Sus scrofa: one gene and its partners. The protein of the gene in region 1 interacts with the protein of each later gene in a biochemical or structural test. Links are inferred from orthologs where the notes say so. Each region holds a gene or a part of one and is shown in the gene's direction. Other genes may lie near its edges.

Region 1 (3,744 bases):
CTAGTTGGATTCATTTCCGCTGCGCCACAATGGGAACTCTGAGAATTACGGTTTATTGAATGTTTGCTCTTCACGAAATAACATTTTTCACATGCGCACAATGTAGCTTAATTATGCTACTCAAAAGGCAATGATAAAACATAAAAAAAAAAAAAAAAAAACAGGGAGTTCCCCATCGTGGTACAGTGGAAACGAATCGGACTAGGAACCATGGAGTTTCAGGTTTGATCCCTGGCCTCGCTCAGTGGGTTAAGGATCTGGTGTTGCTATGGCTGTGGTGTAGGCTGGCAGCTGTAGCTCTGATTGGACTCCTGGCCTGGGAACCTCCATATGCCGTGGGTGTGGTCCTAAAAAGGACAAAAAGACAATAAATAAATAAATACATAGATAGGAGTTCTTTCTGTGGTGCAGCGGATTAGTGGTATGGCTTGTCTCTGTAGAGGCGCTGGTTCAGCATTGCTGCATCTGTGGCATAGGTCGCAGCTCCAGCCTGGATTCAGTCCCTGGCCCAGGAACTTCCACGTGCAGCTGAGAAAGAAAAAAAAAATTAACCGCTAATTCAGCTTGCATCACAGGCACTGTGGACCAAAATGGGCTTGGAGTTTAGTGACAGGTTTCTAGGTCTGGTCAGTCACCTGGGGGCCACAGAGACTCCGGAGGTAGAGGCCCTTGAATTAGGTCCAGGTCTTGGACCAACCCTTTGCTATCTCTGTGCACTTCAAGGACTTGATCGGCAGTATTTGGGGAGACCCAATGAGTTACCGATGAGCTCACACCAACTTCCCGCCCAGGGCGGAGGTGAGAAGGACTGCGTAGCCCTTAAAAGAGAAAAACAACTTCCACAGCACTTCCTGTCCCATATTCTCTGGAAAGGGGTGGCCAACTTCTCATAGGCAGAACTAGACTCGACCTCGCCCCTCGAAGCCCCGCCCACCAAGAGGCTCCGCCCCAGAGATGGGCGTTCCGTCCGAGTCCCGCCCCGTGACTGAGGCCCCGCCCCCCGGGCCGCTTGGGCCTCTGCGCCCGGCGTCCGGCGGAGGCGCTAGAGCGCTGGGGCAGCGGACGGGGCGGGGCGGGGCGGGGCGACGAGGGGCGGAGCGGGCGGCCGAGGAGGCGGGGCGGCGGGCCGGGGCGGGCCGGGCCGGGCCGGGCGGAAGGAGAGCCAGGCCGGAAGGAGGCAGCGGGAGGGTGGGAGGCAGGAGCGGGCCCGGAGCTGCTGGGCCAGAGCGGCGGCGCCGCCATGTCCGACAGCGAGAAGCTCAACCTGGACTCTATCATCGGGCGCCTGCTGGAAGGTTGGCCGGGGCGGGGGAGGTGGGCGCCCGCCGCGCCCTGGCCCCCTTCCCGGCCCGGAAGTGGCGCGCGGGTGGACCTGCCCCTCCCAGGGCCAGCTTAGACTGGGCGGGGACGGGCCGCGAGGTCCCGTGGCCGTGGCTCTCCCCGCCAAATCGCGGCGCGCCTGGAGGTCTGGGGTTGTTCCCCGCGCTGGAACAGGGCCGGGGCGCATGGGTCGGCCTGGGCTCTTGGGGTGAGGGAGAAACCCGAGAAGCCTAGCCACCCGGGAAGGGGTCCTGCGCTATCAGGCTTTGGGTGGTAGGGCCCCTGCGCACAGCAGTCCCCTCCCAAGTGCCTTGAGGGTAGTTGGGGTCCGGTCCCAGGAGGCTCAGCAGCAACAGCTGCCTCTGGGCAAGGAGGGGCCCAGGCGCCCCAGAAGTGCTCATGAGGGCCTGTGTGTCACCCACCCTCTCCTAGTCTCAGGGACCAGGGTCCTGACGCTCCTTCCACCCTCAGTGCAGGGCTCGCGGCCTGGAAAGAATGTACAGCTGACAGAGAACGAGATCCGTGGTCTGTGCCTCAAATCCCGGGAGATTTTCCTGAGCCAGCCCATCCTTCTGGAGCTGGAGGCACCCCTCAAGATCTGCGGTGAGCCCCCTGCCCAGCCCCTTTGCTTCCTGGAAGTGGTTTTGGCCCCTCTAAAGTCCCTGGATCCCAGCCTTATCCCTGGGTTCAGGTTTAGACTGAACCTAGACCTGACCTGGTTCCCTGGGTCCCAGGTGACATCCACGGCCAGTACTATGACCTTCTGCGGCTGTTCGAGTACGGCGGCTTCCCTCCAGAGAGCAACTACCTGTTCCTGGGGGACTACGTGGACCGGGGCAAGCAGTCTTTGGAGACCATCTGCCTGCTGCTGGCCTATAAGATCAAGTACCCGGAGAACTTCTTCCTGCTCCGTGGGAACCACGAGTGTGCCAGCATCAACCGCATCTATGGCTTCTACGATGAGTGTAAGTGCCATGGGTGTCTGGGGCTGCCCGGGTCCTAAAGGGCTCTCCTGGCCATTCAGAGGGACCCTCGAGTTGGCCTGGCAGCTGGGGTATCAGTGTCTGACAAATACCTGCTAGACTGAGCTCCGTGAAGGCAGGGCCGGGCCAGGCCAGTTCAGGTCTCTCCACCTGCCCTCCTGGCATGGGTCCTGGCACTCAGGAGGGATCTGGTGAATGGGTGCTGGCTGCAGGGCTGCCCGTATTCTAATAAGGGCCTTGCCCAGTGACACTCCCCTCCAGCGCATCCGTTACTTAAGCACTTAGGCTGCCTGTCTGGACTGGACTCTGTTTGCCAGAAGCAGAGATAAACAGACCTGGTCTTGGCCTGGCCCTGCTCATGTGCTGCAGGTGGGTGCCAACCCTGAGGTTGTTCCAGAACTGGAATGCTGGGGTTCCTGGAAAGCTGGTAGGCAGTGGGATGGGTTTCCCTTCCTTGCCCTCTCTGCTTCCCTCCCAGCTGTGTCTGAACAGCACATGATGTGCCCTGCAAGGCCCAGGGACCCCGGCTGAAGGTGGGGCAGCCAGGCCTTCTCACGAGCCACCTCCTTCCTCTGGGCAGGCAAGAGACGCTACAACATCAAGCTGTGGAAAACCTTCACTGACTGCTTCAACTGCCTGCCTATCGCTGCCATTGTGGACGAGAAGATCTTTTGCTGCCACGGAGGTGAGAGCAGCTCTGGGGCCCGCGCTGGAGGAGTGCTTGGGAGGGACGAGCCTGGCCCCATCCCGGGGGGCTTGGGGACAAAGGCATCAGCTGCAACAGTTCTCCCCCGAGTCGTTTCTTCCATGAAGTCCCCCCGCACCCTCATGTCAGGCTGTGCTGTCAGGTCGTGGCCACAGCTTCACACGTGGAGTTTGTCTCCTTTCTCCAAGGAGCCCTGTGCTCCTTGAAGAAACAGGGGCTACGAGAGGCAGAAGGTGGCGAGGTCTGCCTGTCATGGCTCCCAGGAGACCACGGAGGGGTGGGGACAGAGGCTGATCGGCAAGGCTTCCCGGAGGAGGCAGGGGCCTCGTTTTGAGGCTCAAGGAAGTGATCTACCTCCTGTGCTCCCCAGGCCTGTCCCCCGACCTGCAGTCCATGGAGCAGATTCGGCGTATCATGCGGCCCACAGACGTGCCTGACCAGGGCTTACTGTGTGACCTGCTGTGGTCTGACCCCGACAAGGACGTGCAGGGCTGGGGCGAGAATGACCGCGGCGTCTCCTTTACCTTTGGAGCGGAGGTGGTGGCCAAGTTCCTGCACAAGCACGACTTGGATCTCATCTGCCGGGCACACCAGGTGGGCTGGCGGCGCTGGGCTGGGCTGGGCTGGGGCGGGGCAGCCGGCACCTGCTGAACTAACTGCCCCCACCCTCACCCAGGTGGTAGAAGATGGCTACGAGTTCTTTGCCAAGAGGCAGCTGGTGACACTCTTCTCAGC
Region 2 (3,303 bases), on another chromosome or scaffold:
ACGCCAGATCGTTAACCCACTGAGCAAGGGCAGGGACCGAACCTGCATCCTCATGGATACGAGTCAGATTTGTTTCCAGTGAGCCACGAGAGGAACTCCTGACAAGGTTTTTACATAAAGAAGAACTCTTCCTCAACAGCAAAGAATGCAAGTTCCTGTCATGGCTCAGTGGTAACGAACCTAATTAGCATCCACGAGAATGTGAGTTGGATCCCTGGCCTTGCTCAGTGGGTTAAGGATCCAGCTTGCTGTGAGCTGTGGTGTAGGTCGCAGACTCGGCTTGGATCACGTGTTCCTGTGGCTGTGGTGTAGACTGACCGCTGCAGCTCTGATTCGACCCCTACGCCTGGGAACCCCCATGTACTGTGGATGCAGCCCTAAAAAGCAAAAAACAAACTCTGGGTTCCTTTTCCCATTACACAGATTTTTATGTATATTTCAAACATGTCTGTTTTCAGTTACTGGAAGAATAATATCTTACATTATTTTGGCATTGGCCTTTTCTCTCACCCACAGAGCTCCGGAAATTGGCCTCGGTCCTTGTCAGTGACTGGATGGCTGTCATCCGCTCCCAGAGCAGCACCCAGCCTGCTGGTAAGCTCCTGGGTCCTTTATCCCTGGTATTTCTTGCCCCTGGGACATGGCCTTCGTGCCTCTAGCCTGCTTTACCTCCGACTGACTGTCTCTCTCCTCTCTAAGTGAAATCCTTTTCTTCTCTGTCTTTCCACAACAGAGAAAGATAAGAAGAAACGCAAAGAAGAGGGAAAGAGTCGAACCACCCCTCCTGAGCGACCGTTGACTGAGGTGAAGGCAGAGACCCGGGCCGAGGAGGCCCCGGAGAAGAAGAGGGAGAAGCCTAAGTCTCTCCGCACCACGGCGCCCAGTCACGCCAAGTTCCGTTCCACCGGTAAGGCTGCTGGCAGGCCTCTGCGGGGACGTGCACGACCGAGGCTTGCAGTGGAGGAGTTGGACTTAATGGTACAGTGACCCAGTCTGTAGACGAGGGAGGACAGTGGGTGAATCGTCATGGGGTTTATAAGGCGAGACGAAGGTGAAGGGAGGAAGAGTCAGGAGTGGGTGGAGTGAGTCCAGCCCCAGCAGCACATCTTTCCTCCCCCAGGCCTGGAGCTGGAGACCCCGTCTTTGGTGCCCGTGAAGAAGAATGCCAGTGCAGTGGTGGTTTCTGACAAGTACAACCTTAAACCCATCCCGCTCAAGCGTCAGAGGTGCGGACCGTGTTGTGGGTTTTCGAATGGCCGGGTCTGTGCATGTCGGGAGGAGAGAAGGGGTGAGTCAGCTGCAGTTGACGGTTCTTTTTCTCACAGCTCCATAGCTGCCCTGGGTGATGCTGCCCCCCCTGCAGAGAAGAAGTACAAGCCACTCAACACGACCCCCAATGCCACCAAAGAGATCAAAGTGAAGATCATCCCACCACAGCGTGAGTCAAAAACGGGGGGCTGTGCTGGGAAATGGGAGCAAGCTCTGTGGAAAGGAGACACTTTCCTCCAGTTTTCACTTGAGTTTTTGGTGTCCTTTAATGTTTGCAACTCTGGAATTCCCTTTATAGCAGCGCTTCATAGGGTTACTTAGGAGTTATTTTATTTAGGAGTTATTTATTTTTTGGCCCCACCTACAGCATTCGGAAGTTCCCCCAGCCAGGGATCGAACCTGTGCCGCAGTAGTGGCTTGGGTCACTGCTTGGGTGCCCCAAGCCACTGTTGTGAACACACTGGATTAGGAGTAATTTTAGAGATAAGGTAGGCAGGCAGGGCTGGTTGGGGCACTCCCAGCTGGCAAGGTAATCTGTCATGTTCCTGGCGACTGGCCTTGTCAGTTACCTGAGCTCTGATTCATATCCAAGGCCACAACTTGCCTGCCTTAAATAAAAGATAGGGAGTTCCCGCTGTGGTGCAGCAGGATCGGCAGCATTTTGGGAGTACTGGGACATAGGTTTGATCCTCAGCCCGGCACAGTGGGTTAAGGAGCCGGTGTGGCTACAGCTGCATCTTAGGTCACAACTACGGCGTGGATCTGATCCCTGGACTGGGAACTCCGTATACTGTGGGGCAGCCAAAAAAGAAAAAAATAAAAAAGATAGGAGTTACTCCTGTGGCCCAGTGGGTTAAGAATCCAACTGCAGTGGCTTGGGTCGATCCTCAGCCCAGTGCAGTGGATTAAAGGATCCGGCATTGCCATAGCTGCTTCTCAGGTTGCAGCTGCAGCTTGGATTCAGTCCCTGGAACTTCCGTATGCTAAGGGTGTGACCACAAATTTAAAAAAAAAAAAAAAAAAAAAGCGTAATGGCGAGAATTTGTGGTGTGAAACCTACATATGCTTTCTGGTCACCTGGAGCCTGTTGTGTCCAAATAAGCACAGGGCAGGGTCTCTGTTGGCCGGTTTTCTGTTCAGACTTTGTGGGAATTAGGATAATGGAGAAGGTCTGCTGATTCCATCTTATGCCTTTTTGTTTTGCAGCTATGGAGGGCCTGGGCTTTCTAGATGCGCTCAATTCAGCCCCTGTTCCAGGCATCAAAATTAAGAAGAAGAAGAAGGTGCTGTCACCCACAGCGGCCAAGGTATGGGCGCTAGGCAGTAGGTGCCAGTGCCCGGGTAGAAGAGGTCCAGGGGAAGGGAGGGCGCGGCAGCTGGGCACGTGGGGAGGACAGAGCAGCTGTGTCTCAGGTGTAGGCTGGTGGGGGCAGACAAGAGACAGAGCTGTCCTTCAGGGGACCTGCTTGGTGGGAATCCTGCCTGGGACCGTGGACTAACTGCCTGGCCTTGACCTTCCTTGGCTTTCCTGTCCGCTCATTCACTTCTTTTTCTTTCACAATAGCCAAGCCCATTTGAAGGGAAAACAAGCACAGAACCAAGCACAGCCAAACCTTCTTCCCCAGAGCCAGCACCTCCTTCGGAGGCTATGGACACAGACCGTCCCGGGACCCCAGTTCCCCCTGTCGAAGTCCCGGAGCTCATGGATACGGGTAAGTCTAGACACTGGCTCAGGTTGGGGGGTTTTCTAGAAGGAAGGATCCGGTCTGAAACCACTCCTGCTTGCAGCCTCTTTGGAGCCAGGAGCTCTGGATGCAAAGCCAGTGGAGAGTCCCGGAGATCCCAGCCAGCTGACACGGAAAGGCAGGAAGAGGAAAACTGTGACGTGGCCTGAGGAGGGCAAACTGAGAGAGTATTTCTATTTTGAGCTGGATGAGACTGAACGAGGTTAGAGATCAAGTAGGCAGGGTGGCAGGTGGGCTGTAGGCAGGTTCAAAAGGGCTTGGTGGGGCTTACTTCCCTCTTGCTTCTTTT
Region 3 (3,744 bases), on another chromosome or scaffold:
TCACAATCTCTTTAAGTCTCCCTTCTGTTCCCTCCCTCTCGCCCTCTCTCTCTCTGGCCCTCCACGTCTGCTGTTTCCTTCTCTCCCGGACGCTCCTTCTCACTGTCTCTCTTCCTCTGCTCTCCCAGTTTCTCTTTCCCCTCTGCTGGTCTTTCCTTCCCCCTGCCAGCCGCCCACGCTGCTGTCCCGGCTCCCAATCCCCGCTGACCCCGCCCCTCTTGGCCTCCCCACCACAGCCTGACCTCTGGCTCAGCTGCCCCCACAGCTGAAGGGAGGGGCTGGGGGCTGGGGGCTGGGGGCTGGGGGCCACCCTCCCACCTCCACCCCACCCATCCACCCACACGCTCTTAGGTCCCTGCTGGACCGGGTCCCATCAAGGCTGAAGCTGGGATTCCTACATGTTTGGAGAAGAGGAGCTGGGCCTGGACTCCAGGACCTGAGGGGGCAGGTTGTGATCGGAAGCCTGGGTGATTGGCGCCTTGGGAATGGAAGGGAGGGGTAGGGGCTCAGACTACTGGGTACCTGACAAAATGTGAGCCAGGAGTCAGGACTTGAGAATGGAGCTGGGGTCTGGAGGTGTGGCTTGCAGTGGATGGGTCCAAGTCCTCCAGAGAAGAGAGGGCGGCCCCCAGATTGCTGGGTTCTGGCAAGAGCAGGGTCAAGTGGCCAGTGGCAATCTCCACCTCAGATCCAGGTGAGAACTCCGGTCTAGACTGAGGATGATGCCCTCTCAGGAGGGAGGCCTGGGTCCTGGGCGTATTTTGAGGTACAGGATTGCAGACCAGGTTGGTGGTGGGGTGCCAGGGACTGAAACCATGTCCTTAGGCCTGGAATTTGGGGCAAAAGACCGCCCCCCCACTCCCTTGATGTTGGTGATACCCAGCTAGAATTTCAATTTGTGTAAGCGGAGGTTCTGTATAAATTTGAAGTAGGTGGAGCCTAGGAGTGGCGCCTTGTGCCTGAGATAGGCACGGGATCTGAGGTTTTGGTCCAGTATTTCTCACCGCGTATTTGTTGAGCACCTACTATGTGTCACGCAGGCAGTGAGCAAAGAAAAGCGCCTGCCTTCAGGGGCCTTACACATTCTCTTTCTCTTTTGCAATGAATATAGACTCCGCTGTGCCCACCCTTGGGCAAGTGATTTCATGCCCAAGACTCAGTTTCCCCATCTGTGAAATGGAAATAATGATACCTTCCCACACCGGATAGGAAGCCGACTGGACTGGAGGGTGGAAGACTCTAGCCTGGGGCCGGCTGGCTAAATTGGGGGCGGGGAGTAACGGCGTTTGCCTGGAACAGAGGTTGAGCTCGCGCGCTCAAAACCTAACCAGTTCATGAGTTTGATTGGCAGCTCGCCTGCTTCAGGGCGTGGCCACGCTCAGAAATACCGCCGTGACGTCATAAAGTCCGGAATCTCCGCGAGAAGTCCAACCTTGTTTTCCGTTTCGTCCATCACGATTACGATTCGAAACCCCGCCTCCTCTCCTGACGTCACCACGTCCGGCTGCGTTTGTGTATAAAAGCGCTGAGGACCGCGTCAACCCTTACGTCCTAAGTGGCTAGCCGGTGTGTTTGTATTTGTTTCTCCGTGTGACCTTGCGCCCATTCGTCGTGACAACGCTTGCAGCAGCCGGTGACAATTTGAGTCCCCGAGCCCGACGCCGGAGGGCGAAATGAACGCTCTGGACTCCCGAGCTGTCCGGAACTGCGATCGCTTGTGGCAGCCCCAGCCGACGCTCCTGCCCCCAGGGTGACGCGCAATCCCGAGCTGGTGAGTTGAGGGGGTCGGAACATCTAGGTTCCTAGGGGTTTGGGGGCGGAGGACTAGAATCCTGGTCAATAACGAGGAGGGAGCTCGAACTTCTGAGTTCCGAGATAGGGGTGTTCGGAGCTCGGACTCCTGTGCCCTAAGGACTCCTGGGAACCTGAACTCCTTTTTCTGGAGAGGTGGGACGAGGCCGGACCCGAGGGCTCGGACTTAGGCAGGAGAAGGAATTGGGAGCTTAGAGTCCTGAGCCGGACAGAGGAAGAGTCTGGGAGCCAGAAGGCACCATCTAGGGATCGGAAGTTTTATGTCTTGGAAGGAGGAGAATGGTGGGCGCCTAATTTTTCAATCCTCAGGAGGATGAGAGAGGCAAGGGACAAGGACTTTGTCCCCAGAGGAAGCAAGCAGAGGACCTGTGTTCTTGCTTCCTGGGACTAGAATTTAATGGGTCAGAGAGGAAATGGGGCTGGGAGCCCTTTGGGCTAAGGAAGGAATGAGTGATGATCCAGACTCTTGGGTGTTGAGAGAGGCTGGGAAACTAGGGACAGAGATGGGTGTGGCTGGGATGAGAAAGGAATGTGGGGCGGGGCCTCTCTGGTTGCTGTTTGTGTTACTATTCGTGTTACTATTTGTGTTGCTATGACTCAAGGTCACTCTCTGATGCTATTCCCTCCATGGCTTCTAAACTCGTTTCCTTTTTTTTCTCCCTTTTCCCCAGCAGACAAAGATGGCCCCAGGCCAAGTGCCCCACCAGCCTGCCCCCTGGAGGGCTACCCACTCCTTTCTCCTGTCCCCGCTGATGGGCCTTCTCAGCCGGGCCTGGAGCCACCTGAGGGGCCCAGGCCCTCCAGAGCCCTGGCTAGTGGAGGCAGTAACCAGGGCAGACGCGGGAGAACCTGGCCTGGAGGGAGACACAAAGGCTTCTCTGGCCACCCAGCCACAAGAAGAGCCTGGAGAGAGGAGAGCAACTGAGGAGGATGAAGAAGCATCCTGGGGGAGCTACCCTGACCTGGAAGCCAAGTGTTTGCTTTTGGAAACCTGGGGACTTTCAGATGATGAGCGTGGTGGGGAAGCAGCAACCCGCGTCCCTAGAGAGCCCGGAAGTGAATTTATGGATGGCCTTCCTGCTCCCCTGTCCCCCAGCCTTCTGATGAGAGCCCAGCAGGACGTTCCTGGGGAGGAAGAATCTCAGGAAGAAGCAGTTACTGAAGATAAAGACATAATCACCTTCGCTTTTCCTCTGTCACACTGGGAGGGTTGTCCAGGTGTGGCAGTGGAGGAGGAGGAGGAGGCTGGAGAAGCTGTAAATAAAGAAGCTCCTAGAACATCTACCTCCCCCTCAGCTCCAGGACCCCAGCCCCGCTCCTGGGTGTGCTGCGCAGTGGAAGGAGCCACAGAGGAAGAAAGAACAGAGAACAAAGCAGCCACGAAGCCCTCCACCTGCCCCTCATCCCTCGGTTCCCACCCCGGGGCCTGGGAGTGTTGTTCAGGGGAGGAGCCTGAGGAGGAGGAGGACAGAAAGGTGGAGAAACGAGAGGCTGGCCCAGAGCCCCACTCCGCAATTCTAGCCCAGAGCCCCCTGCTCGGGACCCGGCAGCATCAGTCCAGGGAGATCTCAGAGGAGGAAGATGAAGAGAAGGATGAGGACAGGGATCTGGGGGCAGCCGAGGGCCCTTCTTCCAACCTACTCACAAATGCCTTCCTGAGGGCCTGGGTGTACAGACCCGGAGAGGACACGGAGGAGGAGGAAGACGGGGACAGTGACGAGGGAGCAGCTGAGGAGGAAGGAGAAGCTGAGGAGGAAAGAGAAGCTGAGGGTCCCTCTTCCAGCCCGCACCCAAGTGCCTTCTTCAGAGCCTGGGTGTATCGACCCGGTGAGGACACAGAGGAGGAGGAGGAGGACAGGGATAGTGATGCAGGAGCAGCTGAGGAGGAAGGAGAAGCTGGTCCTCCTTCCGTCCCACCCACAAGTGCCTTCC

Evidence for each region.
Region 2: the proteins of PPP1CA (region 1) and PPP1R10 form a complex in vitro, tested with the Homo sapiens proteins (2 studies listed by BioGRID). The link is inferred for Sus scrofa from reciprocal best matches to the Homo sapiens genes PPP1CA and PPP1R10.
Region 3: the proteins of PPP1CA (region 1) and PPP1R15A are reported together in a solved structure, tested with the Homo sapiens proteins (2 studies listed by BioGRID and IntAct, with this or other methods). The link is inferred for Sus scrofa from reciprocal best matches to the Homo sapiens genes PPP1CA and PPP1R15A.

What each region holds. Positions count from the first base shown.
Region 1 is NC_010444.4:5,118,997-5,122,740, forward strand, and holds the start of PPP1CA (serine/threonine-protein phosphatase PP1-alpha catalytic subunit), read left to right. Parts: upstream 1-1,205; 5' UTR 1,206-1,240; coding exon 1,241-1,295; intron 1,296-1,791; coding exon 1,792-1,923; intron 1,924-2,054; coding exon 2,055-2,285; intron 2,286-2,883; coding exon 2,884-2,988; intron 2,989-3,379; coding exon 3,380-3,603; intron 3,604-3,685; coding exon 3,686-3,744. UniProt on the Homo sapiens protein: Protein phosphatase that associates with over 200 regulatory proteins to form highly specific holoenzymes which dephosphorylate hundreds of biological targets.
Region 2 is NC_010449.5:23,152,535-23,155,837, reverse strand, and holds part of PPP1R10 (serine/threonine-protein phosphatase 1 regulatory subunit 10), read left to right. Parts: intron 1-516; coding exon 517-594; intron 595-733; coding exon 734-907; intron 908-1,120; coding exon 1,121-1,226; intron 1,227-1,325; coding exon 1,326-1,438; intron 1,439-2,475; coding exon 2,476-2,576; intron 2,577-2,833; coding exon 2,834-2,981; intron 2,982-3,057; coding exon 3,058-3,216; intron 3,217-3,303.
Region 3 is NC_010448.4:54,170,504-54,174,247, forward strand, and holds the start of PPP1R15A (protein phosphatase 1 regulatory subunit 15A), read left to right. Parts: upstream 1-1,534; 5' UTR 1,535-1,771; intron 1,772-2,483; 5' UTR 2,484-2,492; coding exon 2,493-3,744. UniProt on the Homo sapiens protein: Recruits the serine/threonine-protein phosphatase PPP1CA to prevents excessive phosphorylation of the translation initiation factor eIF-2A/EIF2S1, thereby reversing the shut-off of protein synthesis initiated by stress-inducible kinases and facilitating recovery of cells from stress.